7 linked regions of the Ovis aries genome follow. The protein of the gene in region 1 interacts with the protein of each later gene in a pairwise test. Links are inferred from orthologs where the notes say so. Each region holds a gene or a part of one and is shown in the gene's direction. Other genes may lie near its edges.

Region 1 (3,500 bases):
GATCAGGAACAACGAGCTAATGACTTGGAACAAATTATGGAGAGTGTGAAGTCCAAAATTGGTGAAATGGAGGATGAATCTGTAAATAGGGTTTGCCAGCAACAGAATAAAATAAAAGAACTTCAAAAGGAGCATAAAGCTTTACAGGTACTGAGTTAAACATTTTCTTACATGATAGTCTTAAAACACCTTGTCAGTGTTACAGGTGACTTCCATGTTGCTTAACTCAGTGATCCTTATCTTCCTTTACCTATTATTGTCATTGTCTTGAAATTCTTTCTTTGCTGTTTCCATAATATCTTCTCTTCTGGTTTTCCTCTAACCCCACTGGTTATTTTTTGATCCCTTTGTTGATTCTTCTCATTTTCCATGACTCATCCCTTCAGTTCAGTCGCTCAGTCGTCTCCGACTTTTTGTGACCCCATAAATCGCAGCATGCCAGGCCTCCCTGTCCATCACCAACTCCTGGAGTTCACTCAGACTCTCATCCATCGAGTCAATGATGCCATCTAGCCATCTTATCCTGTCGTCCCCTTCTCCTCCTACCCCCAATCCCTCCCAGCATCAGGATCTTTTCTAATGAGTCAATTCTTTGCATGAGGTGGCCAAAGTATTGGAGTTTCAGCTTCAGCATCAGTCTTTCCAATGAATACCCAGGACTGATCTCCTTTAGGTTGGACTGGTTGGATCTCCTTGCAGTCCAAGGGACTCTCAAGAGTCTTCTCCAACACCACAGTTCAAAAGCATCAATTCTTTGGCACTCAGGCTTTTTTCACAGTCCAACTCTCACATCCATACATGAGCACTGGAAAAACCATAACCTTGACTAGACGGACCTTTGTTGGCAAAGTAATGTCTCTGCTTTTTCATATGCTATCTAGGTTGGTCATAACTTTCCTTCCAAGGAGCAAGCGTCTTTTAATTTCATGGCTGCAGTCACCATCTGCAGTGATTTTGGAGCCCCCCAAAATAAAGTCTGACACTGTTTCCACTGTTTCCCCATCTATTTCCCATGAGGTGATGGGACCAGATGCCATGATCTTCGTTTTCTGAACGTTAAGCTTTAAACCAACTTTTTCACTCTCCTCTTTCACTTTCATCAAGAGGCTCTTCAGTTCCTCTTCACTTTCTGCCATAAGGGTGTTATCATCTGCATATCTGAGGTTATTAATATTTCTCCCTGCAATCTTGATTTCCAGCTTGTGCTTCTTCCAGCCCAGCATTTCTCATGATGTACTCTGCATAGAAGTTAAATAAGCAGGGTGACAATATACAGCCTTGACATACTCCTTTTCCTAGTTGGAACCAGTCTGTTGTTCCATGTCCAGTTCTAACTGTTGCTTCCTGACCTGCATATAGGTTTCTCAAGAGGCAGGTCAGGTGGTCTGGTATTCCCATCTCTCAGAATTTTCCACAGTTTATTGTGATCCACACAGTCAAAGGCTTTGGCATAGTCAATAAAGCAGAAATGATGTTTTTTCTGGAACTCTCTTGCTTTTTCCATGATCCAGTGGATGTTGGCAATTTGATCTCTGGTTCCTTTGCCTTTTCTAAAACTAGCTTGAACATGAGGAAGTTCACCGTTCACGTATTACTGAAGCCTGGCTTGGAGAATTTTGAGCATTACTTAACTAGCATGTGAGATGAGTGCAAGCTTGTGCAGTAGTTTGAGCATTGTTTGGCATTGCCTTTCTTTGGGATTGGAATGAAAACTGACCTTTTCCAGTCCTGTGGCCACTGCTGAGTTTTCCAAATTTGTTGGCATATTGAGTGCAGCACTTTCACAGCATCATCTTTCAGGATTTGATATAGCTGAATTGGAATTACATCACCTCCACTAGCTTTGTTCATAGTGATGCTTTCTAAGGCCCACTTGACTTCACATTCCAGGATGTCTGGCTGTAGGTGAGTGATCACACCGTCATGGTTATCTGGGTTGTACTCATCCCTTGCTGCTGCTGCTGAGTCGCTCAGTCGTGTCTGACTCTGTGCGACCCCATAGATGGCAGACCAACAGGCTCCCCCTCCCTGGGATTCTCCAGGCAAGAAGGATTGGGTTGCCATCCTTCTCCAATGCATGAAAGTGAAAAGTGAAAGTGAAGTCGCTCAGTCGTGTCTGACTCTTAGCCGCCCCATGGACTGCAGCCTATCAGACTCCTCCGTCCGTGGGATTTTCCAGGCAAGAGTACTGGAGTGGGCTGCCATTGCCTTCTCCGACCTTTCTTTTTCCTATAAATTCTAACTTCTTTGGTGATGCTCAGTCTAAGTCATAGTACTTTTAAATCTGTGGCACAGGCTTCTTCCCTTAATTGCATACTCACATCCTGCATCCTACTTGATATCTCTATTGGATGGCTAATTAGGCATGTAGAACTTTTTAACATGTCCAAAACCATACCTGGATTTCTTCCCCAAACTTTTGTCTTTTAGTCTCCACTCTGGTCCAAGTTACTTTCATTTCTTTCTTGTGTCTTTCTTGGTTTCCCTACTCCAAGCCTTGCCTTTTTCAATGTGCTCTCAACATTGTAGCACCCTCTAACTTCACTTTTTCTTTTTTTTAAGGGAAAAATCCAAAACTCTTTACCATGATCTTGCATGATTGTCCCTGTGTTGCACCTCTTGCATATTCTATTCCAGTCACACTGGCATTCTTGATTTTCTTTGAACATTTTCCTTGAACATTCTCACCTCAGGGACTTTGTATATTTTGTTCTTTTTCCCGCTACCATGCGTGGTTTTTTAGCTGCGTGGTTTGTTTCCTCTCTGCTTACTCAAGTGTCACATCACCATCTCTCCGGGATTCCTTTTTTGACTGCTTCACTTACAGTTGGCAGTCCTATCCCCCAACATATCATCTGGCCTTCCCTGCTTTGTTTTATCCATAATTCTTACCACCATCTAACATGCTGATATACTATACACTTTGTTTGTATATCTCTGTGTTAGAATGCAAGCTCCATGAGGGCTGATATTTTTGTCTGTTTTGTCTAGGGCTGAGAAAATGTCTGCTTTATTATTAGTTGTAGATGCTCAATAGATATTTGAATTATTGATTATAAATTTTTTAGTTTTTATTGAAATAGCAATGTTATAACATTGAATATTTAATTCCTAATTTTAAAAACCTCTTTTAAAACTTGGGTGTTTATTGTAGTTGAAAGAAAGAAATCTTTTGTAGGAAAAATCAATAGTTGTGTAAGACATTACAGATTAGAAACAGTATATCATTATAAATGTTTTCTGTTGGCACAGCATTATGTGTACCTGTTGCATACAAGGTGTTTAGCTGCCTAAAGGGACAGTACTCCTTAGGCAGGGTCTGGCTGTCCCCTCAGTTTATGCTAGCAGCATTGGAAGGATGTGATAAGTTAAATTTCAGGGATCAGAGAGAAACAGCGCGAGATACTAAGAATTCCTGGTATGAAGCTGCAGGCAGTTGGTGTTCTGCCCTCATTTAGCCTGCCAGCTTGGGGCCAGCAGTGTTGGACCTGTTGGTGTTC
Region 2 (3,935 bases), on another chromosome or scaffold:
TCATCTTCTTCCTAATTTTCATGGGACAGCTCTTCCTGACCAAGGCTCTCACCAACTCCCTGTGACAGGCCCTGGCTGCCTTCCATGGTTTGCCCCCCTCAGTCCCCTGGCCCCCCTGTCTGGGAGGCTCCCTCTGCACTCCCACGACCCTGAAGCCCACTGAGACCCAGGTGCTCAGAGTGCATTATCGGAAGCCTGGGGCAGGTCCCTCTGGCAGCCTCCTGGGTCACGCTGGGCTCAGGGGCCATCCCAGCCACGGTGGGGAAGCCCCTCGCGCCTCTGGTGCACTGCCGGTGGGTGAGGCAGACACCCGCCATCTCGGCATCACAGGGCGCCCCATGCCAGTGCCCATTGGCATGCCCGGGCCCCTTCCAAGGCTGCTGGCTCCTGGAGGGCCGGTGGCCTCCTGGCCCAGTGCCCCATTTCCTCTGGGGTGCAAGGGGAGGGAGGGAGGCGGTGGGAACCGGCGGGCGCAGGCCAGGATCCTGCAGAGCGGGAAGGCGTGCTGGGGCAGGGGGTCTGGGGCTCTGGGGGGCGGTTTATGGTCAGGTGGCTACAGGCTTCCTTGGTGTGGCGCGCGCGCGCACTGCGCGTGCAGCAGCGCCTAGTCTGGACCCGTGCTCTCCAAGGGCTTGCCCCTTCGGATCAGGCCCCTTCTCGCAGCCGCCGGCGACGCGCCCGCCTGGGGCGCGGCCAGGGACCCGCAATTGCTGGAGCAGAGGGGCAGTTGAGACCGAGCGGACTCCACGTGACTCAGGGAGGGCGAGCCCCGCCCAGCGCGCAGCCCCGCCCAGCTCCCGCATCCTGCCCAGTTTCTGCCGGTTGCATGGCCACAGGCCCCGCCCCTCCACCCTTCTGACCCAAATAGCCGAGCGGGTGACGTCGCGGCTCGCGGGCCCCGCCCCGCTCCCAAGCCGGGGCGGGTCTAAGCTAGTTCCCGTCGCGCCCAGGCCCCGCCCCCTCGCTGGGGTCCAGCCCTAAATGCGCCAGCGTGTGACGTCTCTGGGCTCGGGAGCCCCGCCCCTCCCCGCCCATTCGCGAGGCTCCACCAATCTGCGCTGGCAGCTCTCTGCGAGGCCCGGCCCCGCTCCGCACAGCGCGCGCTGCCCGCGGAGACCGAGACTGTGACGCGGGCGTGACGCGCGCGTAGCCGCTCCCGAGGCACTCCTGTTTCCCCTGCCGCGCTCCGAGGCCATCGTCTCTCGGCCGGTGTTGCAAGGCCCAGGCCTCCCCCAGGCCTCCGCCGCCCGCTGCCCGCCATGGACGACTACGCAGTCCTCTCGGACTCCGAGCTGGCCGCCGTGCTGCGCCAGTACAACATCCCACACGGGCCCGTCGTCGGTACGCGGTGGACGGAGGGCGGGCCCGCTCCCCGCGCTTAGCCCCGCGGCCCCCTCTCGGCCCGCTCCCTGACCGCCCTGTGCCCCGCGTCTGATCAGGTTCCACTCGCAAGCTCTACGAAAAGAAAATCTTCGAGTATGAGACCCAGAGGCGGAGGCTCTCGCCCCCGAGCTCGTCCGCATCCTCTTTCTCCTATCGGTTCTCGGGTGAGGCTCCCGTCCCAGGGCCCCGCCTGGCCGCCCTTGGGGACACGGTTTGGGGGACGCTGAGGAAGGGGTCGCGGGGGTGTGGCCAGGGCACTGGCTGGAAGGGGCGCGGGGGAAACGGGAGGGGACCCCTGTGGGCCAATGGTCCTAGCCCCTCCCCCATTCAGACTTAGATTCGGCGTCCGTGGACTCGGATATGTATGATCTGCCCAAGAAAGAGGACGCCTTACTTTACCAGAGCAAGGGTAAGGCAGGGGTGGGGTGGGCACTCTGACACCTTCCTTCCAGTGTCAGCCAGAACCTGAGACCTCAACCCCATGCGTCCTGCAGTAGCCCTGCAGCACCCCCCCCCCCAATGGGATTCAGATTAGGGCCATCGGGCCAGGTGGGGACACCGTTGCCCCTTCTGCTACCGCTGCCCCCCCCTTCCTAAGGCTATAATGATGACTACTATGAGGAGAGTTACTTGACCACCAGGACTTACGGGGAGCCTGAGTCTATGGGCACATCCAAGGGCTTCCGCCAGCCCTCAGCTTCACTCTCAGATGCTGACCCCTTTCACCGCCAGGTGAGCTGAGTTGTCGGGCACCCTGTACTTGGGTACAACCTGAGGGGGTCCTCATGGGGTTTGGATGAGTCAAGGGAACCACTGGGCACAAATGGTGGCTCAGAAACCTCCAGGGAGAGGTGGGGCCTGCAGACACCTGCCTGGTCAAGACCTTTGGGGTGGGGGAAGGGGCTGTCAGAACTGTTTTGACTAGTGTGCCCAGGACGTGCCCTGGCTCTGGTCTGGGATCTAGGTTTGAGCTCTTTTTGAGAATTCTGGGGCAGAAAGTAGGATGCAGGCAGCCGGGACAAGTGGCACGGCCCTGCAGACATAAGGCTGAGGACCAAGAAGGGGGTCTGGAGGGTGGCAGGGCCCAGGCCTTTAATCAGTGTTCAGAACAGGCTGGGAAGGGCAGTTTGGACTGAGGGTATGACCTGTCATACCTACACCGACCCTGTCAATAGGTATTCTCATTCTGATTCACTTCTGTAGGTCCGTGATGACAATCTTTTCTCTTTGGAAGAGGAAGGCAAGGATCGGTGAGTATTAAGGCGAGCCAGGGGCTGGGGCTGATTCAGGACTCAAGCCCTCCTGGTCTACCTACTGCACTCTTTGCCTCAGGGAACGCCTCCTGTATGGCCGGGACAGTGCCTACCAGAACATTGCACACTACCGCCCTATTTCCAACATCTCCAGAAGCTCCCTGGGCCTGTCCTATTATCCCACATCCTCCTCCACCTCGAGTGTGTCCTCATCTTCATCTTCGGCCCCTTCGTGGCTCACCCGCAGAGCCATCCGGCCTGAAAAGCAGGCCCCTGGGGCTGCCGGCCTGAGCCAGGATCGCCAGGTCCCGCTCTGGGGCCAGGTGCTGCTGTTCCTGGTCTTTGCTGCCTTCCTGCTCTTTGTTTACTACTCCATGCAGGCCGAGGATGGCAACCCTTTCTGGGCAGAGCCCTAAGGGTCTGACCTCGTACCTTGGAGGCCGGCTCCTCTTGGAAGCCCTGGCTGACTGCCTTATCAGTGTTTGTTGGGGGAGGGGGGTTGGGGCTTTTCTGTGTGTTCTAGCTTGGGGTTACCAGGACATGGGCAATGTTTGCTGACCCCTGCCCTGTCCTGCCAGGGAGGCAGCAGGCCTGGGCCCTCTGCGGCATGGTGGACCTGGGTGGGCCTGCCTCTGGATCCTCCTGGCCCTGCTTGCCTGTCACCCTTCGGGCCTAGGAGGGCAAGACCCTTCTCCTGGAGAGGAGAACATGGTTTTGGTCATCGCATGCCTCCTATTTGTCGTCACCTCATGGGGGGATTAACCAAAGGCCACCCTGAGTTTGTTTTCGTGGACACAATAAAAGACCATTTATTTTTAATGTGTGGGTTCTTTTCTTTAACATGGGGAGGGGTTGGGCTGCCCCCCTGCTAAAGGCTTCCAGGCCTTGGGTCTCCAGAATTGCCATCCAACTTTGTCAGTTCATCCTTTCGTCCTTTGAGCCTGAGATAGGGATCATAGGCAACCCATAAACTCATTTATGTTTTGCTTTTGGTGCCCGCTCCCTGACATGTTACCAGAAGCTCTTGTAAGTGCTTATAAAAAATAGTCACACAGAGAGCCCACTGGGAAACGCAGGTGAGGCTGCTTGCACCGTGTCAGTTCTGGGTGTTTCAACTGGGACCAGCAGACACCAACTGTGGTGTCCAAGGGCAGAGTGATGGGAAGGAAATGAGGCATCTGCTTGATGGGCTGCTGGAAGGCTGGTTGTCTAATGACAGGGGAAGGCTCTCAGTCCTCTGGAATGTTTCATCTCCTTTTAGTAAACCAGTTCCTCACCTGGGTATTACCACAAGGTTTT
Region 3 (3,976 bases), on another chromosome or scaffold:
TCTCAGCCACTGGTCCACCAAAGAAGTCCTGAGCAAGACTTTTTGAGAAAGTGTTTCCTGCCCCCAGGAGCCCCCACGAACTCTTAGACCACTCACCAGTGAGTTCAAACGAGTCGGGGCTCCTGTGGAGCCTGAGAACGGAGACACAAGGTGAGAGGGAATCCCCCTGATGAAGCAGCACTCTCCGCCCCCACACCTCCTCTTAAAACTCTGGCTGCTTGGGGAGCTAAGCTTGTCTCTGCTCTCGTTCCCAGGAGCTGTTGCTGCAGAGGATTAGCTGTTCGGCCTGGTGAGCCAAAGGGGCGGGGGCTCCCAGAGTTTGACCTGGATTCGAGGGGAAGGAAACCCACTCCCCTACACACAGCCTGGAACCTGCCACCCCAGCCACTCCCACCTCTGCTCTGTCCAGTCCAGCCCGGCCGGGGAGAGGCACAGCCCTTCCCTTGGTGGGGGCCCTGAGGACGCTGCCGCCTGGCCTGGCACTGCTTGCGTTTCTGTCCCTCACTGCTGTCTCCCTGTCCCTTGGATCCAAGCAGGTTCTAACTTGCTCTGATAGAAATAACATAAAGCCGTAAGCATCTTGTTAGGGCTGCTGGGTGGGACGTGACTTCCTGAATCTGTCTTCCGTTGAGATAGTCAGGTGGCTGTTGGTTCTCAAAGGCCTTCGGTTGAAATTTTAGCTCCAAATCAAGTGGAACCCACCATTCCTTTTAAGACAGGAAGTCAAACACAATATTGTAAAACAATTATCCTCTAATTTAAAAAAGTACTAAACTTTTTGATGGAAATTAAAAAAAAAAAAAAAGATAAGAAGCAACTCCAGTGTCTCAGGGCGGCAGGGGGATATTCCTCTGAAACCCAGGCCATCACGTTTCAAGATTATTTGGCTTGTGTGACCCAGTTAAATAGCCCTGAGTCCTGTGGGCCTCTGTGGACACCTCACCTTCTGTCCCACGGCTGGCTTGGCTCAGCGAAGCCTGCCCACCTGCGAGGACAGAGGCTCCCGCTTTCCTGATGAGAAGAAAGTGTATCAGAAGGAAGCAGCAACTGGTTGCTGAGCTGTGGAAAATAATTAAACTGGGGAAGAATAAAAACACTTCTTTAAAAAACCAGGTTAGGTATGAATGTGCAGGGCGTGGCCCCTCTGTATAATTAGCTGCTCTGCTGGCTCTGGGAGCCGCCTGCCTCTCCTGCCCGCCCGTTGTGTCAGGCCCTCCTCTTGGCTCCCGGTAGGTGTGTCTCGGGCTCCGTGGCTGCCTGTCTCACTCTTGCAGAGACGCCGCTGCCCGAGAGGTCACCCACCTGAACCCCCAGCGCGTTCAAAGACCAGCCAGGTGAGCCGCGATGGAAGCTGCAGACGCCTCCAGGAGCAACGGGGCCAGCCCTGAAGTCAGGGATGTCCGCAGCCCCCTGAGCCCCAGTGGCAGCCTGGAGAATGGGGTCAAAGCTGAAGACAAAGAGGCTAAGACTGCCAATGGGCACGGCGGGGAGGTGGCCGAGGGCAAGGGCGCAGGCGGCGCCCTGAAGCCGGGCGAAGGCAGGAGCTCCCTGTTCTCCGGCAGCGAGTGGCGGCGGCCCATTATCCAGTTTGTCGAGTCGGTGGATGACAAGGGCTCCAGCTACTTCAGCATGGACTCTGGGGAAGGCAGGAGGTCGCCCTACGCCGGGCTCCAGCTGGGGGCTGCCAAGAAGCCGCCTGTCTCCTTTGCCGAGAAGGGGGAGCCGCGCAGGTCTATGTTCTCGGAGCCTCGGAAGCCCTCGGTGTCCATCCTGGAGCCCGGAGATGTCCGGCGGAACAGCTACCCCCGGGGCGACTCCAGCACCCTCCTGCGCTCCAAGTCGGGCTCCGAGGAGGTCCTGTGCGACTCGTGCATCGGCAACAAGCAGAAGGCCGTCAAGTCCTGCCTGGTGTGCCAGGCCTCCTTCTGCGAGCTGCACCTCAAGCCCCACCTGGAGGGCGCCGCCTTCCGCGACCACCAGCTGCTCGAGCCCATCCGGGACTTCGAGGCCCGCAAGTGCCCCCTGCACGGCAAGACTATGGAGCTCTTCTGCCAGACCGACCAGACCTGTATCTGCTACCTCTGCATGTTCCAGGAGCACAAGAACCACAGCACCGTGACCGTGGAAGAGGCCAAGGCCGAGAAGGAGGTAAGAGCTGGCCGCCCTCGCAGTGCCCTCCCACCGCACCTGCTCCACGGCCGCTCCCAGGGTCTGGGGCTTACCTCTCTGCTGTTCCTGGTTCTTTCAGAAAACAGTCCTTTCCCCTCCTACCCCCAGACTGGGAGTCAGAGATGGTTCCCCTATCCTCTAAGGCCTCAGGAGTCAAGTCATCTCCTAAATGAGCAAAGAGGGGCTCAGCAAAGATGGGGGGCTTGGCCAAGGTCATAGGACAAGTTCAAGTCAGGCCAGGAGATCAGCATTCCTTCCTGGGCTCTCTGCCTGGCTGGGTGCTTCTTCCTTCCTTTCTACTTCGGTGCTAAGTCACTCAGTCGTGTCCAACTCTTTGTGACTCCATGGACTGTAGCCCACCAGGCTCCTCTATCCATGGAATTATCCAGGCAAGAATACTGGAGTGGGTTGCCATTTCCTTCTCCAGGGGATCTTCCCCACGCAAGAGTCAAACCCAGTCTTCTGCCTTGCAGGCAGAATCTTTACTATCAGAGCCACTGGGAAAGCCACCTCTTTCTACTTAATGGAGAGAGAATTCTTCCTAGTTGAGGAGGACTGGCTCGTGGGGATAAGTCATGGGTAAGGAGGAGGGAATTTGGGGACCACGTCAAGGCCCTTTCTCCCCTGACCTCGGAGTTGGTCTCTGTAGGCAGTGGCTCCTTCTTGTTCTGTCTGATCCCCTAGCCAGTCTTGACACTCCCAGCAGCCTCCTTTATCCTTCCCTCAGCTGGACGCTCAGTGCTTTGTGTGTGTGGCCGTTGCCTGTAGGTGGACACTCGTGGCGGTTGGAGTCGGGGGGAGGGGTGTACATGTGTGTGCGTGTGTGTGTTTTCTGTGCACGTGGGTGCTTATGTCTGTGTATGGATGCTTGCATGTGACTGTCTATGTGGCATGTGAGTGTGTTCGCATGTGTTCTGTGTGCGTGATTCTGCCTGTGCTTCTGCGGGGAGGAGCAGAGGCGTGTGGAGGCTTGTGAATGTGGTACGCCTTACTCCTGGAGAGGATGTGCTGGGATAAGGGCTCGTCTGTGGCTGTACAGATACTGGGACTCCTCCCTCTACAACAACACAGCCCCCTGATGTGGTGCGTCCTCCAGCTGGGGTCAGCCATGCTCATTGTCAAGGCAGGGGACTCTGCTTTCTGCACCCCACAGAATGGGGCAGCACAGGCCCCCCTCTGTGCCCAGCCCTCCTGACCTGAAGTCTGTGGGTCACTCTTTCCTATCCATACTCCTGGGCAGGAGAGACGAGTCAGAGATGACAAAAGGCTCAAAGAGCCTTTTCAGGAGCCTCATTTAGCCCAGGAAAGAAAGGTGGTCCTAGTCTCCCTAACTCCCTGACCCCAGCCTGGCTTCAGGCTTCAGACAGGGAGATGGAGCTGGAGCAGGGGCCATGGATCTCCTCCAGGGTCTCACTTAGGGAATCAAAACAGATTGCAGGTAATTATCCTCAACCACCACAACCAAGAAATTGCAGAGCCCCAGGCTGGGTTTTAGGAGACGCAGCTCCAGTTCTAGTTTTTCCTCGAACCAGCTCTAAGACAGTGGACAAGTCCCTTATGTTCTCTCAGCCTTGGTTTCTCTTCACATGAAACTAAGGGACTGGACTAGATTGGAAGTTTTCAAATGACCCCCTGGAGCCTGAAGATTCTTAGGAATATCTCTGAGACCTCAGGGATGAGGAGGGGGGCAAACTGACGCCCAGAAGGCAGGGCTGCAGGCTCCTATCGCTACTGCAAGCAGCTGTGCCATGCTGGCGCTCAGTCATGTCTGAATCTTTGCAACCCTCTGTAAGCAGACTGCCAGGCT
Region 4 (3,500 bases), on another chromosome or scaffold:
TGAGACTTTCAGTTTTCTTTGAAGAATCTGTAAGATTTACATATTAGGATCTTTTTTTGTTTAAAATAGACTTTAACTTCTGAATTGCCTTTATTCCTGTAAGTATCTTTAGATTGGAGATGTAAAAGAACTGTTGGCTGCTTCAGAATAGATTTTTGCATCCAAAACTTTTTAAAGTTGTAGCCCTGCCTTGCCCTTTATGAATCTAGTATTATTTTGTTTTAGAGTGTCAGACAGGGTAATCAGGAAGAAAAAAGGTCCTTAAAGAAAGGAAATATTGGTTTTTCATGTTTTTACATAGAATCTTTGTTATTTCAAATATTGGCCACTTTTTTTTTAAGAAAGTAAATATGATGCCATCAAACCAACAGTCCATGTTGGCAGGCTAGAAGTTCAGTAGTCCATAGTCTTGGCTGTAAGGCCTCTGATTTGGCCTGGTGAATCACAGCCTCAATAGCCTACCATTCATTCCCCATTACTGACAGTCATTCCTCCTCAGAACTACTAAAGATGTTATATCTTTAGTAGTAGAGTATCTCTTTTCTGGTGGGTTAAAGAAAGAAAGAGCATGTAGCTAATATTTATAAAGCACTACATTTAGATATCTAAGGATCTTATTAAGTCCCTTATGTGAGTTATTTCACTTATTTCTCACAGCGAATGTGTGAGGAATGTGTTACTAGTATTTTCCCTTTTTTAAAAATAGATCAGGAAATAGGCTTGGAGAGATTAACTTGCCCAGTATGCCCAACTAGTTAGTATGATGAAGTGGAATTGAATTACATTCAATCTTGATTCCAGTGCCTAAGCCATTAGTTCTGTGCTGTACTGTACCTCTCTGCCATCTCTATGTTGCTTATATTTAGGAGAACCTACATGCTAATAAGTCACACTAATGGAATATAAAACAGATTTCTTTCTTTTTTCTTTAATTGTTTTATTATTTTTAAAATCGGGATCAGATTCCAGTCCTGTTCGAAATTTGCAGTCTTTTGGCACTGAGGAGCCTGCTTACTCTACCAGGAGAGTGACCCGTAGTCAGCAGCAGCCTACTCCAGTGACTCCGAAAAAATACCCACTTCGGCAGACTCGTTCATCTGGCTCAGAAACTGAACAAGCGGTTGACTTCTCAGATAGAGGTGAGTGGGTGTGGGTGATTTGGAGTCATTACAGAGAGGATCTAATCAGTTTCATCTTAAAAGAGGCTTGGAGCCGCTGCAGATAGATGCCCAGTACAGAATTCAGCTGGGTGATTGCAGTTTGTCTGATTCCTTTCTTAAACCTCTTGCTGAGGACAGTTTGATACTCTGCTGTTCTTGAGGTCCAGAGTAGCTGGATTATTATTTGATCTGGCTTGCAATAGGCAAAAGAAACTGACGACCTCTTACTCACAGATGAAGAAGGCTTAAAGCAGATTTTCTTACAGTCGTGCTTATGGGTCCATTTATGTCTGAAGTTCTGAGGAGGAATGACTGTCAGTAATGGGGAATGAATGGTAGGCTATTGAGGCTGTGATTCACCAGGCCAAATCAGAGGCCTTACAGCCAAGACTATGGACTACTGAACTTCTAGCCTGCCAACATGGACTGTTGGTTTGATGGCATCATATTTACTTTCTTAAAAAAAAAGTGGCCAATATTTGAAAAAACAAAGATTCTATGTAAAAACATGAGTTACTAGTTTCTTTTGAAAAATGGAAAGCTCTGGGAACATTAGGTGGCCATTCACCACATAACTGACTAGAACTGAATAGTAGTTATCCCTTTGAGAGAGACAGTTGGCTCTTGATTTGGCCTTGCTCAGCACTAGTAGGCATTTGGTTTGCAACACCTGATTCAGAGTCAAGTCCTTTCACACTCACTGCTACTGCTGAGTCACTTCAGTCATGTCTGACTCTGTGCGACCCCATAGACGGCAGCCCACCGGGCTCCCCCATCTCTGAGATTCTCCAGGCAAGAATACTGGAGTGGGTTGCCATTTCCTTCTCCAGTGCATGAAAGTGAAAAGTCAAAGTGAAGTCGCTCAGTCGTGTCTGACTCTTAGTGACCCCATGGACTGCAGCCCACCAGGCTCCTCCGTCCATGGGATTTTCCAGGCAAGAGTACTGGAGGGGGGTGCCATCGCCTTCTCCTTCACACTCACACCAGGTGTGTTCAGTTTCATCCAGAAAGAATCATTTTCATTTATATTCAATCCTATGTATCTCCCAGCAAGAGAGTAGGATGATAATGTTTTTTAAAAGTTTATTTCCATCCAGGTTTGATTATTCATGATTTGGGGCTTAGGAGAAGCACAAATGAGAGAAATGTATCATGTAAACCTCAAATGGAATTTTAGTCAGAATTTAAAGTTGCAGAAGAGGAATGCTGTTATTAGTTTTTCTTCATTTTCCATTTAGTTTTATGGCAGATAAATGGCAAAAGTTCCTGATTAAATCACAGAAAGAGGATCTTGGGAAGCCTGTAAACTCTTCTGAATGTAATAACCCTCTTAAGTAAAATACACTCTGTTCATGAGTTTTACCAATTGTTTTACTTTAGAAACTAAAAATACAGCTGATCATGATGAGTCTCCACCTCGAACGCCAACTGGAAATGCCCCTTCTTCTGAATCTGACATAGACATCTCCAGCCCCAACGTGTCTCATGATGAGAGCATTGCCAAGGACATGTCCCTGAAGGACTCGGGCAGTGATCTCTCTCATCGCCCTAAGCGCCGCCGCTTCCACGAAAGCTACAATTTCAACATGAAGTGTCCTACACCAGGCTGTAACTCCCTAGGTAAGTGTGCCCCCACCTCATGACACTGTGGATTGTGTGGTTTTCTTTCTCTCTGGAATTAGGATCACTCAGAAATGTTTAGTGCTCCATTGCAACTTAGCTTCTTAGGCTCTTCAATGACCACTGCTTAGGATAACACTGAATTGTTCACTTGGATAAAAGCATTCCTGCTTCCTGGCTTATTGTCCATAATAACAGATTTAGTTACAAGGAAATTAACTATGATGCACCATTCAGTTTATTGAGAACTCTTCCCAGTGAAAAGTTCTTTCATTTTTCCAACAAAAACAAAACAGAATGTCAGTTATCTCCAAATACCTCATTGTATGGTGCATAGTTCAAGTGTACCGAGGACTAGTAGAGTGTAAGGTGAATAAATTATGGTTATATGGCCATAGCTATTAAGGAAACAGTTTTTTTGGTCAAGAGGTACTGAAGGTGAGGAGTATGGATGAGACCTTGACCTTTTGTGACTTTTAGGCCTTGTGGCTTTGTATGCTTAGGAAGTATAAACTAGATAAATATTTCTTCTCAGATAGATGAGTTATATCATTGTTTCCTTAAGGGTTATTTTTTCTCCTTACTGAGGGAGTCTAGTAATGTTTTAAAAATCTTCCATGTGTTCTTTAAGTGAGCTTAGGTGCAGATGTTGGTCTAAACTGTTGTCTAGAGTTGGAAGGTGCTGATTGGAAGACAATGGGCCTCTCTTTCTGTCTATCA
Region 5 (4,274 bases), on another chromosome or scaffold:
CATCCCCTCCTGCCAGATCACCCTCTTCTCCACCTGCTCCCCGGCCTCCCGCACCTTTCGAGCCTCCACTGTGAATTTCTTTTTCCCCTTGGTCCTTCTCCTGGGTCTGGCCATCTCCGCGGTTCCTGTGCTTTATAGCATCTTCCTGTAAGTGTGGGAGGTACCGGCCTCTCCCACCCTCCACCCTCCTGTCCAGGGTTCTGACTTTGGGCCATCCTTGACCTCTGCCTATCTCTGATTCCAGGATCCCACCTTCCAAGCTGTGTGGTCCATTCCGGGGTCAGTCGTCCATCTGGGTGGCGATCCCCGAGTCTATCTGCAAACTGCCTCAGATGGCCCAGAATTTTCTCTTCTTCCTGGGTACCCAGGCTTTTGCTGTGCCCCTTCTGCTGATCTCCAGGTGAGGGCGCTAGACTCCTGGGTCTGATTCTGAATGTCTGACCTGGGGTCCCGCTGCCTGCTTCCGAGAGAGAAGGGGGTTGGGGCCCAAACTCTTGGGTCTTCGGGAAGGAGGGGGCTGGGATGCTTCGACTCCTTGAGTCTGAAGGAGGAGGTCCAGACCCCTGCTTTCTAAAAAGCCCTACGTGGAAGATATTCTGAGAACGTTTGCGGAGTGGCTTCCACTTTATCTCCGCTAGCATCCTGATGGCGTATACAGTGGCCCTGGCTAACTCATATGGACGCCTCATCTCTGAACTCAAACGCCAGATACAGACGGTGAGCCAGGCCTGGCCCCTGGGAAGGGGTCCTGGAGAGTATGAAAAAGAACACAGGGGAGAGATGTGTCTCACCTCCCCTCTACCTTTCCCTCAGGAGGCGCAGAATAAAGTCTTCCTGGCACAGCGTGCTGTGGCGCTGAGCTCGGCCGACAGAACTCTTTGACCTCTCCAGCCTGGCTTGGGGTGACGTCCCACTTCCAGCCCCAGACCTGCTCCCAGATCCTTTTTGAGCTTCGTCAACATCATTTGGAAAATGAGTGAACTGGGGAAGACCCCGTGCTTTTCCAGCCCTGGGATTCCCTGCTGAGGCCCCGACCCTCCAGTGAACCTCTTTCTAGTACTGTATCAATGAATCTAGTACTGTGTCAATAAACACAGCGGAGGCCGCTGAGTGCTTTTTAATCTCCGGTCCAGAAGCTGGGGCAAGCCTTCACAGGACATAAACCAATCAAATGTGTGGCTCTGAGAGCGTGGCGGACTCTTCCGCGAGAGAGACCGCGCCAGCCAATCAGCGGCTGCGTTCAGGAGCCTCGGGGCGGGGACACGTGATTGAATCAGAGTCTTGGGGAGCGGCGGTCGCTAGGCGACGCCACGCGCGATTCTCGGAGACGGGGGACGTGGGCCCCGCAGCCAGTCACCTCTCGCTACAGCCCTGGGGGGTCGTGTCAGGCAGCGCAGAGCCAATCCGTGGCCGAGGAAGGAGCAACGGGGCGGGGCCTGCCTCTCGCCAATTGGAAGTGCCAGGAGGTGGGCCTGTCGGTCCGCGGACGGCTGAGGCGCCATGAATATTTTACCCAAGAAGAGCTGGCACGTCCGGAACAAGGACAATGTCGCCCGCGTGCGGCGTGACGAGGCCCGAGCCCGTGAGGAGGAGAAAGAGCGTGAGCGGAGGGCGCTGCTCGCTCAGCAGGAGGTGAGCCCCCGGCCCGGGCGGACGCGGCGCCGCGGCTCAGCGCGCAGGCGCCGGGGAGCGGGGCGGCGCCGGGGAGCGGGGCGGCGCCGGGGAGCGGGGCGGCGCCGGGGAGCGGGGCGGCGCCGGGGAGCGGGGCGGCGCCGGGGAGCGGGGCGGCGCCGGGGAGCGGGCCACCCTGGCGGACCTGGGGCCCGGCTCCCGGGCGGGCTGGGCCTGCGGGCCGTGCCGACGTTCCCCTCGACCTCTCCTTGGTCCTCCTGGAGGGCCGGAGTAGGGGGTCGTGAGTAATCGGAGCCCTGGGCAGTTCACGGAAGCTCGGGCCGCTTGTTACTTTAGCTGTACAAACACCCTGTGCAGTGAGCTCTTGCTGTCCCCTGGCGGCTCAGACAGTAAAGAGTCTGCCTACAGTGCGGGAGACCCGGGTTCGACCCCAGGGTCGGGAAGATCCCCTGGAGAAGGAAATGGCGATCCGCTCCAGTATTCTTGCCTGGAGAATCCCCTGGATGAAGGAGCCTGGTGGGCTACATACCATGGGGTCTCAAGGAGTCGGAAACGACTGAGCGACTTCAGTTTCGCTTTCCCCTGTTCATCCCGTGCAAAGCGCTTGATTTGCAGTCTCTCGAGCCCTGTTCGTTCTTAGCGGGGCGGTTATCTCCCTTCGGCGGAGAAGTGAGATGGCTTCAGAGGAGCCACAGCGAAGCGACAGTGTCTCAAGCCAGTCCCGCTGCGCCAGGCGTGCCTTTTGCCTGCACCGCTGCGCACAAACGTTAGAGAGTCTCTCTAACTCCTCACCTGTTTGGTTTACACCTAGCTTCCAGTCCTTTGACTAATCCGATCGTCAGCACTGGCTGGGAGGTAGTCAGGGTTTTTAAAGCTCACCTTTATCGGACTTCCCTAGTGGCCCAGTGGCGTCCAATGCAGGGGCCCCAGATTCAGTCCTTGATCAGAGAACTAGATCGCACATGCTATAAAACTAGATCTGATGCAGCCAAAGCAATATTTTTTAAGTTCACGGTTATCAATAGAAATTGGAAATCAAATGGGCATAATGACTCAGCGCCCTTCCTGGAATTCAGATCACCTGTCCTAATAGATGTTTTGGCTGCCTTTATAGCTGTTTTCATTGTGTCAGAAATGAAACCCCCTCGTTTACTGTTTGGAAGATGGCTTACAAACCATGCCTTGCCTCACTGCTCCACCCTCTCCCCAGGAATAGTCAGGTGCCTCTTCTGGGTTCCCAGTGCCCCTGCTCCCTTCCTTCGAGCCCTTACCACTGCAGTGGTCAGCACTAGGCTCAAGAGTCCCTTGGGCTACAGCTAGGTTCTGAATGTTCTGCCTGTAACTTTTTTTCCCTCCAGGCCCGCACAGAATTCCTACGGAAGAAAGCCAGGCATCAGAACTCACTTCCTGCACTGGAAGCAGAAACGGGAGCCCCATGCAGTTCTGGCCCTGTGGATCTGTTTCGGGAGCTGCTGGAAGAAGGCAAGGGGGCGACGAGAGGCAATAAAGAGTACGAGGAAGAGAAGCGACAGGAGAAAGTAAGGTGGCCTTACCCTCTTCCTCGGGTCACGGGTGGAGCCAGGGGTGGGGGTGTACCTTGCCCTCAGGTGTGATTACGGGAATATTTAGGGAGATGGTGGGGATTAAACAAGCTAGAGAACTCAGAATAGTATTAGAACATAGCATGTTAAGAGGTGTTGATTATTGCCGGGTGCTAGGTAGACCCCCTCAGGTCTCTAACCTGATGTGCAAACCTTGAAGATGTTGGGAAGTGTTAAGCTTCTTAAAATGTAAATCAGACGCTGTCCCTCACTTGCCCTCGGGGTTTCCTATCAGACTGCCTCCCCGCCCCTCCCCCCTCAGTCACTGCTTTACCTGGCTGGCTTCACAGTTTCTTTTCTATCTCCTCAAAGATGCTGCCTTTGAACCCTAACATAAGCAGTCCCCTCCTTCCTATGCTGTTTGTTGCTGAAGCTGTCCTGGTGCCCCAGAGCAGGGGCACCCCGGGGACTCATCTCTGAAGTCCCAGCAGCTGGCAGAGTCGGCTCCTGACGGGCTCTGCTGGCTGAATGTCTGGTTCTGCCTCTGCGGGAACCCTGGCTGCCTGAGAGGGAACATGCTTCCTGTTCTCACTTTCACATCTTGTCTCCCTCAGGAGAGGCAAGAGAAAGCCCTGGGCATCCTAACATACCTGGGACAGAGTGCAGCGGAAGCCCAGACTCAGCCCCCATGGTACCAGCTGCCCCCTAGGCCGGGCGGCCCCGCCTCTGGTCCTGGGCCCGACGAGAGGATCAAGAGCCGCCTGGACCCGCTGCGGGAGATGCAGAAGCACTTGGGGAAGAAGAGAAAGCACAGTGGAGACAGTGGTGGTCACAGCACAAAGGAAAAGAAGGCGCCTGAGAAACAGCGACCCAAAGAGTAAGGAGCCTCTTTGGCCAAGTGGGCACCACGGGCGCTCTGGCTGAGGCAGGGGCTCTGGGGTCTGCAAGGTCAGGCCCATTTTCGTAACACCGTTGAACGTTTTCAGCCTTGTTCCGGGGTCTGCAGAGACTACATGGTATTTATTACAAGGCCACTGCCCTGGTGGCTGGTGGGCCATCTGCTTGCTCTTGTTCACGTTGTATACATTAGATTCTGGACAG
Region 6 (4,091 bases), on another chromosome or scaffold:
CCCTCCTGATGCCTGTGAAAGAAAGTGAAAGTGAAGTCGCTCAGTCGTGTCTTGTGACCCCATGTGACTCTTGTGACCCCATGGACTGTAGCCCACCAGGCTCCTCTGTCCATGGGATCTTCCAGGCAAGAATACTGGAGTGGGTTGCCATTTCCTTCTCCAGGGGACCTTCCCGACCCAGGGATCGAACCCGGGTCTCCGTCATTGTAGGCAGACGCTTTTACCGCCTGACCCGCAGGGAAGTCCCTGACGCCTGTGCTGCGGGGCCAACAGCGGCTGTGCAGTAGGGTGGCCCTGGGCCGGGGGCCTGGAAGCGCAGGGAGATGGTGCCGACCACACAGCAGCGTCCGGGGAAGGCCGCGACACTGCGACACTCCTCCGAGGGATGAGGGGGTTCCCTTAACCCCCGAACCCCTCTCTCACCCTCTTCCACTTCTCTTGAAACAGAAGCCGCCTGCGTTTCGGTCCGGGGCCCCACGACCCGCCCACCTCGCCGTGTGGCTCGCCCCCGCCCTGCTTCCTGCTGCCAGAGCAGCCCCGCCAGGGCTGCAGCTCCTCGGAGGACTTTGCTGACCACTCCCCGCCCTGCTGGGGCCACTGTTACAGCGTCGCTCTCAGTGACAGCTATTCATGTCTGTTTACGGGCCTTCTTTATTTTACTGTTTATGTTTTTTGTGGCTGCGACGGGTGTTTGTTGCTGCACATGGGCTTTCTCTACCTGTGGCCAGCAAGGGCTATTCTCTAGTTGCAGCCACAGGCCTCTCGCTGCGGAGGCTTCTTCTGTTGCAGGGTTCAGGGTCTAGGCTCCGCGCCTTCAGCAGTTGCCTACTGTGGGCTCTGCTGCCCAGGCACGTGGGATCTTCCCAGACCAGGGATCCAACCCGTGTCCCCTGTGTTGGCAGGCAAGTTCTTAACTGCTGGGCCTCCAGGGAAGCCCCCTGTTTTCCCACTGTTCCCGCCCCACTAGCAGGTGGTTCCCTTGAGTAGCAGGTACGTTCCCTTGAGTAGCGTCCCTTCATCCAGAGCAGTGCCTGCAACCTCTCCAGTATCTTGCCTTAAGAATCCCAGGGACAGAGGAGCTGGCGAGCTACAGTCCATGGGGTCGCAAGAGTCGGACACGACTGAGCGACTAACCCGCCACCACCACCTGCAACCTAGTAGGTCCTGAGTGGGTCTCGTCCAGGCGGTACTCCAAGCGCCCGCGCCCCACCCACAGCGCGCACAGCCCCCGCCCCGCGGAACTCTGCGACGCAGACTTGTTTCCCTCGGAGCGTATTCGGCGTGGGACCCCAGCCCTCCTTGGTCCCAGCGGGAGCGCATGGCGGTAAGCGGTGTACAGGTGGGGAACGCCTTTGGGCGGTCGGCGGCTCCTCATGACCTTCGTCCTTTCCCCCTTTCCCCAGGCTCCAGGACATCCTGCTCGGGAGACAGCGGCAGCCCCAGGCCCAGGTACTGCCCGTGCACCCTGCAGCCCCTGGTTCCCCAGGCTGCTTCCTAAAGCCCCGAGTCCTTTCACTGTAAGGCCTCAGCCAGTCCGTCTGCTTAGGGCGCCCTACGTGCCGTGACTCTGCCTCGAGGACCAAGAAGCAAAAGAAGAAAATCCAGGATGGGTCGTCTGTTGCCAATGGAAGCGGGAAGACCCCAGAAAAACAGGCCTCCGAGGAAGCCCCCCTAAGCGCAGAGGCCCAGGCAAGGGCGGGCCTCAGTCGGGAAGGGTGAAGTCCCGGGCACGTACTGGGCGGGAGCCCGCCTGTGGGTGTAGTCCTGGATTTACAGCGGGAAGTGGGTGAGATGCGGCGTTTGGGGTTCCTATGGGATGAGGCTGGAGGCCCCAGCGCCCTGACGCCCGCTTACAGTCACTAACCACAATCCATCATAGGCTGAGCAGCTGGCTCGGGAACTGGCCTGGTGCGTGGAAAAGCTGGAGCTGGGACTGAAGATGCAGAGACCCACCCCTAAGCAGAGTGAGGGCCCATCTGTAGATGGGGGAGGGAAACGGTGACAGTCCTATGGCCTCAGGTGCTGCCAAGGGATGGAATTGTTGCCTTTGCGGTAGGACAGTTGGAAGTGAGGATAAAGGTTACTAGTCCTTTGTTTTCATTTGCAGAAGAACAAGCTCTTGGAGCAATCCGAACCTTGCGCAGCCAGAGAACCCCCCTGCCCCGGAAGAGGCAGCTGATGCGCTCTTTGTTTGGGGACTACAGGGCTCAGATAGAAGCCGAGTGGCGCGAGGCCCTGCAGGCTCTCAGGACTGGTGAGAAGCTGAGAACTGGTTGATGAAGAACTGCCTAGTTCAAGGGGGCAGAAGGAAAAGCCTGGGCAGTGAAAGGGGGAAGCCTCTAGCAGCGGGACTCCCACAGTAGGAGGGGAGTCAGGAAAGCCGCGGGGAGAAAGCCTGAGGCGCGGGTCACAGAACGCCGGCTTGGACTAGGGAGGCAAGGAGAGCAGCGTTAGTGAATCTCTGATTCTTAAGGGTGTGAGATGATAGTACTTACCTTATAATTTTGAGAAGCCAGTAAGTTAATTTTTACAATGAGTTTAGAGTTGTATGGGCAGTTAATGTTTGCTGCTGCTACTGCTGCTAAGTCACTTCAGTCGTGTCTGACTCTATGTGACCCCAGAGACGGCAGCCTACGAGGCTCCCTCATCCCTGCGATTCTCCAGGCAAGAACACTGGAGTGGGGTGCCACTGCTATTATTATTAAATTCTGATACTGTCCCTCTCTTCGCTTACAGCTGCCCACTCAGCCCAGGTGCAGCCTGTAGGTGAGGCTGCCAGAAAAAAGAGCCGAAGGGTCTGCAGACCTCGACCAGAAGGAAGGTCCAAGGGCACCTCGGATACTCGTGATGAAGAGTTTAGGTTTAATTTCTTTTAGCCTCTTCCCTAGAGTGGCCACCTCTGCAGTGGGGCAGGGTTTCTCTGGAGTGCAGCACTTTTCCAGGAATGCTGTGGGGGGCAGATGGGAGACCTGCATGTTGGGTGCTGACAAGCCCAGGACCCCATTTCTAGGTTTTCAGCTGAGATGTCCCTCCTGCCAGAATAGGGAGTTCCTTTAGATGGTTCTACAGTAGACTGAAGTGAGTGTTCACACTGTGTTGTAAAACAGCTGTCCCCAGCCTTTTTGACACCAGGGACAGATTTCATGAAAAACAGTTTTTCCCCAGAGAGGGTGGGAGATGAAACTCAGGTTGTAATGCAAGCAATGGGGAGTGGATATAAATACAGATGACTCTTTCCTTGTTCGCTGTCTTCATCTCCTGCTGTGTGGCCTGGTTCCTAACAGGCCATAGACCAGTACTGGCCCAGGGGTTAGGGACCCCTGTTATAAGACTCTCAACAGTCTCAGGAGCAGACTAAGTAGGTATTGTTAATAAGGGTTAGTGGGGAAGCTGTATAGTTGTACACTGGTGCTCACTTATGGAGGGATGTCCTCTCAAGTGGTATGGCGCTCCATACCATTGAGTCCCATTGCTGTAATAAAACTGTTTCTTATAAATGTGGATAAGCAAAAGCGTGTGCTAACTGTGCTGTTACGGGAAATGTAGACGAGGTGGTGTCAGGCGCTGCTGGGTCCAGGCTCTCACCCCAGGGCTTGGTCCTTTGTATCGCCTTCATTCCTGAGCAGGTGTCATCCTCAAGGAGCCAGTGTATCCCCCAGCAGCCCAGGCTTTGTTCTGAGGAGCAGGTAGCTTCTTGCCCTAAGAATCCTAGCCAAACACCAGCATTGAATCTCTGGGCAAGCTCTGATGTCAGCTGCTCCAGGTGATAGTCCCAGGACTTCTGCATTAAGTCGGGTTTTCACGGTGGCTTAATTATCTTGTGACTGTGATGCCATCTTTGGTAGTGTCTCCCAAACTTGCAGACTAGACAGAGACCCAGAGCCCATCTGCCTACTCAGCATCTCTGCTTTGGTGTCTCACAGATATTTCACACTTGACATGTTCACATCTGATTAGTCCCTAAATCTATCTGCTGCTTTCCAGTGAATTCCACTACTGCCCACCTAGTTGATTAGGCCCAAAATCTGTCATCTCTGCAAAAGGAGTTCCTGGATCCAGTTCCAAAGAGTGAGTGAGTGTGTCTGTGTGTG
Region 7 (4,275 bases), on another chromosome or scaffold:
AGCAACCCTGGGATTTCTTTGGAGGGAATGATGCTAAAGCTGAAACTCCAGTACTTTGGCCACCTCATGCGAAGAGTTGACTCATTGGAAAAGACTGTGATGCTGGGAGGGATTGGGGGCAGGAGGAGAAGGGGACGACAGAGGATGAGATGGCTGGATGGCATCACGGACTCGATGGACGTGAATCTGAGTGAACTCCGGGAGTTGGTGATGGACAGGGAGGCCTGGCGTGCTGCGATTCATGGGGTCGCAAACAGTTGGACACGACTGAGCGACTGAACTGAACTGAACTGAACTGAATGCCTGCCTGTTGTCCTGAGCTGTAGACATGTCTCATGTGGACAAGCTGTGACCAAGCCCTGATGTGTTGCATTAGTTAACAAACAGACCAGAATTTATATGCAAATGAGACCTGCTTCCTTCAAAATCTCCACCTCAAGAGACTCAATACTTTGTCAGCGATGCTGTGATGCTCAAAAGGCCACTGGGCGCTTCCCTGTGGCTCAGCGGTAGTTTGCCTATCAATGCAGGAGACAGGAGTTCCATCCCTGACCTGGGAAGATCCCACATGCTGCGGAGAAACTAAGCCTTTGTGCCACAACTACTAAGCCTGTGCTCTAGAGCCCGGACCCCACAACTACTGAGCCCTAGAGCTCGTGCTCTGCACCAAGGGAAGCCACTGCAATGAGAAGCCTGCACACTGCAACTAGAGAGCAGCCCCTGCTCGCAGTTAGTAGACAAAAGCATGCAGCGGACCCAGCACAGCCAAAATTGGAGAAATAAAATTATTAAAAACACACACCACTGGAACATCTCTCTTGGAAGTCACTTCAGCATTTGTAGCACTTTCTTTTCAGGATCTGTGGCAGTAGCTTTCTGCTTTTTCATTTTTAACTTAATATTTATTATACACTTATCTATCCCAGGCACCAAGCCGGAGCTGGCTGAAAGATAAGATAAATCGATCATTTAGTCTGTCTCTAAGGGAGTTTCTGTTTGGTAAGGGAGGTAAGATCTGGACACCCACTACAGCACAGGGTTAAGCAATAAGGCTCCAGGGAGGTTGGACCTGAGTTTTGGAAAAAGATAAAAGTCCTCTGGTTTCAACCTCCCAGCAAGAAGGGTGACTGAGGTCTGTGATTGCACCCTGTGTCAAGCTAGTATCTTTTGAAGACTTAAAAACAAAAACAAAACTCCAGAAAACAAACCCAATCGCTAAATCCATCCTGGCGTATTTAAGACGCAGACTCCCCACTTTCTGGCGATGCTCCACAATAGATCGAGTCTTCCCAGCTCAATGATAAGCTCTGAGAGGGCAGGTGCTGAGGTCTTCTCCTTCGCTGTTCCACAGTGTCCGGTGGGCGAGTGACAGACGCAGGATCAGGGTTAGACGCGTCTCCGGCCACGCCACACGCCCGTCATACTGGCATCCGGTCCCCTCGTGCGCGGCTCTCAGCGATGACCGCGATGCAGGCCGGAGCCGGGCGGAGGGGAGCGGCCGAAAGACTCTGCGGGGAGGGCACCTGTGGGCTCGCGGAGCTCCTGCGTCCTGGGCCCCGGAGCGGGGTCCCAGGTGGATGGGCCCCGTAGGGAAGAAGGGCGCAGCTGTCCGCGCGCTGGACGCCCGCCCTTTCGGGGCCGGCGCGGAGGGAGAGGCGAGCAGGAGGCCGGGCGCGAAGCCAGAGCCCGGCCCGCAGGGTCGGGAGGAAGGGTTCCGGCCTCGGCAGAGAGCGGGGGACTGGCCGGCAGGGGCGGGAACCCGGGCCGGGGAGGAGGAGGAGAGTCGGGGCTGAGATCAAAGGGGAAGCACGTGTGCCGGGCGATGGCCCCGGCCGGAGCCGGATGCCGAGGTCACAGCCGAGGGTCCCCGCGGCCGCCCCCGGCCCGCCCAGCCCGCGGCCCCTCCCCGCGTCCCAGTCTCCTCCCCGAGGGCCCGGGGCTGGGCCGCCACTCCCTCCAGCTCCCGCCCTCGACCGCGCGCATCTCATTCCAGCCCTCATTCCGCGCATTCCAGGCTTCCTCCTTTCAAACCCGAGGCCGGGGGCGGGGAGAACCCGCAGCTCCCGGCTCCGCCGCGCTGCCGCATCCCCCAGGTGAGTGGCCCGGACGCCGCGCCCCTCGGTCGCGCCGCGGGCGCTCTTTCCTTCCCGCCTGGGACCTGCGCGCCGGGCCCGCTGTCCCCCTCTCCCGTCTCCGTTCTCCCGCTTCCCTCCCTTCCGCCCTCCCGCGCGCGCTCTGTTCCCCCAGCTCCCTTCCTCTCCCGTTGACTCACCCCGCCAGGAATAGGGATCGCCCGTGCTTTCCCGTCAGTCCCCTTCTGGGAAAACTCCGCCCTCTGCTCCGCCCCGCTCCGCGCACCGGCCGCCGCGCGCTGGACACCGCGCACCGGACACCGCGCACCGAGTACCGCGCGCCGGGCGGGGCGAGCTGGGTTTGGGCCCGCGCGGAGTCGGCTCCGTCCCGCGATCCGCCTTCATCCCGGCTCAGCCGGTCGGCCCGGGGCCGGAGCCCGGGTCTCCGCTCGCCGACCCCGCGTTGTCTCTGCAGCGCCCTCGCCCGCCTCGCCGGACCTCAGCGGAGCCGCGGCTGGAAGAGCGGCGCCGCGGCGGACTCCGCGGGGCTGGCTCCGCGTACCCGCCCACCTCCCCGCACCCTGGGACCGGTAAGACGGCGGCGCGGGAGGAGCTCTCACCCGGGATCGGACTTGGGGGCGAGCCGGGCACGTGGAGTCGCGCGAACCGCGAGGCTGGGGTGGGCGCGAGGGCCAGAAGGAAGGGGAGCGCGCGGAGCCGAAAAGATCGGAGGCCGAGCCCAGGTCGCCGGCGGCCGAAAAGAGACCCAGCGCCCGCGCCTCTCTTCTGCTGGGCGCCTCTCGGGCTTGGAAAGGGTGTCCTGGCGATTTCAAGCCGAGGCGTTGCGAGAGCGGAGAGGACCTCCGCCAAAGGTCCCCATTTCCCAGGGCTTGAGAAGCGTGGTGCGCTCCGTGCTGGAGGCCAGTGAGTCTGAAGAGCAGAGCTCCACAGCCCGAAGCGAACGTTTCCCCGGAGGGCGAGCAGACCCGGGACTCGCGCCTCTGTGCGCTTGTGTGTCGAGGGGAGAGGGGGTTCGGGGCCAGACCTGGCAGGTCAGTGATGATTTCACGTGGCGTGTGACTGTGCCGCCTCCTTAGCTCCGGGTGTCTGAGGGTGATACCTGCTCACCGATGAGATCACCTACCTTTCAGGAGGCATGTTTGTGTTGAACGGGAGCGCCTTTCCACCCTAGAAAAGCGCTGTTTGTCTGTAAGCTGAGCGTCTTGGAGGACTAGCGAGATGCCACGTCTCTCAGTGTGTGTTTCCCCTGTGAGGATGTTCCTGGGCGGGACAGTCCTCCCTCCCTGCAGGAGCGGGGGCAGGACAGCGAGTCTCTGGTGGTGTCTGTGCCCAAGGAGCTGGCGGTGGTTGTGGGGCTGTGTGGTCCCCGGGCTTCATTCGCCCTGGACCCGCGAAGCTGCAGGGAAGCTGTGCACACCTGCCTCTCGCAGGCAGCTGTCTTTCTGGGGAGGTCGGTTTTGTTCTTGCCTGGAAGAGTTTAGGGAACACGTTGGTAGCAAGTTTAGGGAAGCTGAGATTCTTGCCTTTCCATGAAGGGGTGGGTTGTTGATAGTGAGACTTGGGCATGTTTGTGGGAGGGGTTGGACACCCTCCCCCCAGAAAGAGCTCATTTTGCATCTTGAGATTTGTGTAGGCAGTGCTTTTATTTTTTGATTAAAAAAAATACAATTTGTAAAAGGTACTTTCCATTTGCAGTTACAACAATACTGGCTATACTCCCCGTGTTGTACAATACATCCTTGAGTTTGTACCTGTCTGACACTCAATAGTTTGTACCTGCCCTTCCCCCACCCCTAGCTTGCTCCTTCCACCCCCAACTCCCCCACTGGAAACCAATCGTTGACTCTCTATATGTGTGAGTCCTATGTTATATTCACTAGTTTGTTGTATTTTTTAGGTTCCACATGTGAGTGATATCATATAGTATTTGTCTAGACAGTGCTTTTAAAGTTGGCTCCAAGGACAGGGGTAAATTGAACTACTGGTCCAGCTCTCCTTGGAGCCGCCTGGGGGTCAAATGGAAGGACCCTCATTCTTGTTGACTGACTGGACCACCATGTAGTGAGAATGTTTTCCTGCCCTCCTAGTGGGGAAGGCTGCCTCTGATTCACTGGGTTGACCTGTGGGGAGGCCCTTCTGGATAGCTGTTTCCTCATCTCTTCCTTTCTGCTATGCCTTCTGT

The links.
Region 2: the proteins of CEP70 (region 1) and EMD interact in binary tests that used the Homo sapiens proteins (3 or more experiments, as listed by UniProt). The two-hybrid records come from large-scale screens. The link is inferred for Ovis aries from reciprocal best matches to the Homo sapiens genes CEP70 and EMD.
Region 3: the proteins of CEP70 (region 1) and TRIM29 interact in binary tests that used the Homo sapiens proteins (3 or more experiments, as listed by UniProt). The two-hybrid records come from large-scale screens. The link is inferred for Ovis aries from reciprocal best matches to the Homo sapiens genes CEP70 and TRIM29.
Region 4: the proteins of CEP70 (region 1) and KAT7 interact in a two-hybrid assay, tested with the Homo sapiens proteins (2 studies listed by BioGRID and IntAct). The two-hybrid records come from large-scale screens. The link is inferred for Ovis aries from reciprocal best matches to the Homo sapiens genes CEP70 and KAT7.
Region 5: the proteins of CEP70 (region 1) and LENG1 interact in binary tests that used the Homo sapiens proteins (3 or more experiments, as listed by UniProt). The two-hybrid records come from large-scale screens. The link is inferred for Ovis aries from reciprocal best matches to the Homo sapiens genes CEP70 and LENG1.
Region 6: the proteins of CEP70 (region 1) and C9H8orf33 interact in binary tests that used the Homo sapiens proteins (3 or more experiments, as listed by UniProt). The link is inferred for Ovis aries from reciprocal best matches to the Homo sapiens genes CEP70 and C8orf33.
Region 7: the proteins of CEP70 (region 1) and TEAD4 interact in a two-hybrid assay, tested with the Homo sapiens proteins (2 studies listed by BioGRID). The two-hybrid records come from large-scale screens. The link is inferred for Ovis aries from reciprocal best matches to the Homo sapiens genes CEP70 and TEAD4.

Annotation. Positions count from the first base shown.
Region 1 is NC_056054.1:251,194,955-251,198,454, forward strand, and holds part of CEP70 (centrosomal protein of 70 kDa), read left to right. Parts: coding exon 1-147; intron 148-3,500.
Region 2 is NC_056080.1:80,070,509-80,074,443, reverse strand, and holds EMD (emerin), read left to right. Parts: upstream 1-1,135; 5' UTR 1,136-1,259; coding exon 1,260-1,341; intron 1,342-1,439; coding exon 1,440-1,547; intron 1,548-1,714; coding exon 1,715-1,792; intron 1,793-1,981; coding exon 1,982-2,115; intron 2,116-2,586; coding exon 2,587-2,633; intron 2,634-2,715; coding exon 2,716-3,052; 3' UTR 3,053-3,455; downstream 3,456-3,935. UniProt on the Homo sapiens protein: Stabilizes and promotes the formation of a nuclear actin cortical network. Stimulates actin polymerization in vitro by binding and stabilizing the pointed end of growing filaments. Inhibits beta-catenin activity by preventing its accumulation in the nucleus.
Region 3 is NC_056068.1:30,425,500-30,429,475, reverse strand, and holds the start of TRIM29 (tripartite motif-containing protein 29), read left to right. Parts: upstream 1-1,176; 5' UTR 1,177-1,344; coding exon 1,345-2,148; intron 2,149-3,976.
Region 4 is NC_056064.1:36,570,451-36,573,950, reverse strand, and holds part of KAT7 (histone acetyltransferase KAT7), read left to right. Parts: intron 1-962; coding exon 963-1,139; intron 1,140-2,540; coding exon 2,541-2,780; intron 2,781-3,500. UniProt on the Homo sapiens protein: Catalytic subunit of histone acetyltransferase HBO1 complexes, which specifically mediate acetylation of histone H3 at 'Lys-14' (H3K14ac), thereby regulating various processes, such as gene transcription, protein ubiquitination, immune regulation, stem cell pluripotent and self-renewal maintenance and embryonic development.
Region 5 is NC_056067.1:63,980,614-63,984,887, forward strand, and holds the start of LENG1 (leukocyte receptor cluster member 1), read left to right. Parts: upstream 1-1,474; 5' UTR 1,475-1,500; coding exon 1,501-1,632; intron 1,633-2,990; coding exon 2,991-3,170; intron 3,171-3,787; coding exon 3,788-4,050; intron 4,051-4,274. Other genes in the region: TMC4 (transmembrane channel-like protein 4), read left to right, coding at 17-147, 245-400, 639-717, 814-882.
Region 6 is NC_056062.1:13,261,976-13,266,066, forward strand, and holds the start of C9H8orf33 (UPF0488 protein C8orf33 homolog), read left to right. Parts: upstream 1-1,291; 5' UTR 1,292-1,318; coding exon 1,319-1,324; intron 1,325-1,403; coding exon 1,404-1,449; intron 1,450-1,546; coding exon 1,547-1,689; intron 1,690-1,879; coding exon 1,880-1,964; intron 1,965-2,107; coding exon 2,108-2,254; intron 2,255-2,736; coding exon 2,737-2,876; 3' UTR 2,877-4,091.
Region 7 is NC_056056.1:212,673,494-212,677,768, reverse strand, and holds the start of TEAD4 (transcriptional enhancer factor TEF-3), read left to right. Parts: upstream 1-1,475; 5' UTR 1,476-1,822; coding exon 1,823-2,093; exon of another isoform or gene 2,094-2,284; intron 2,285-2,330; exon of another isoform or gene 2,331-2,662; intron 2,663-4,275. UniProt on the Homo sapiens protein: Transcription factor which plays a key role in the Hippo signaling pathway, a pathway involved in organ size control and tumor suppression by restricting proliferation and promoting apoptosis.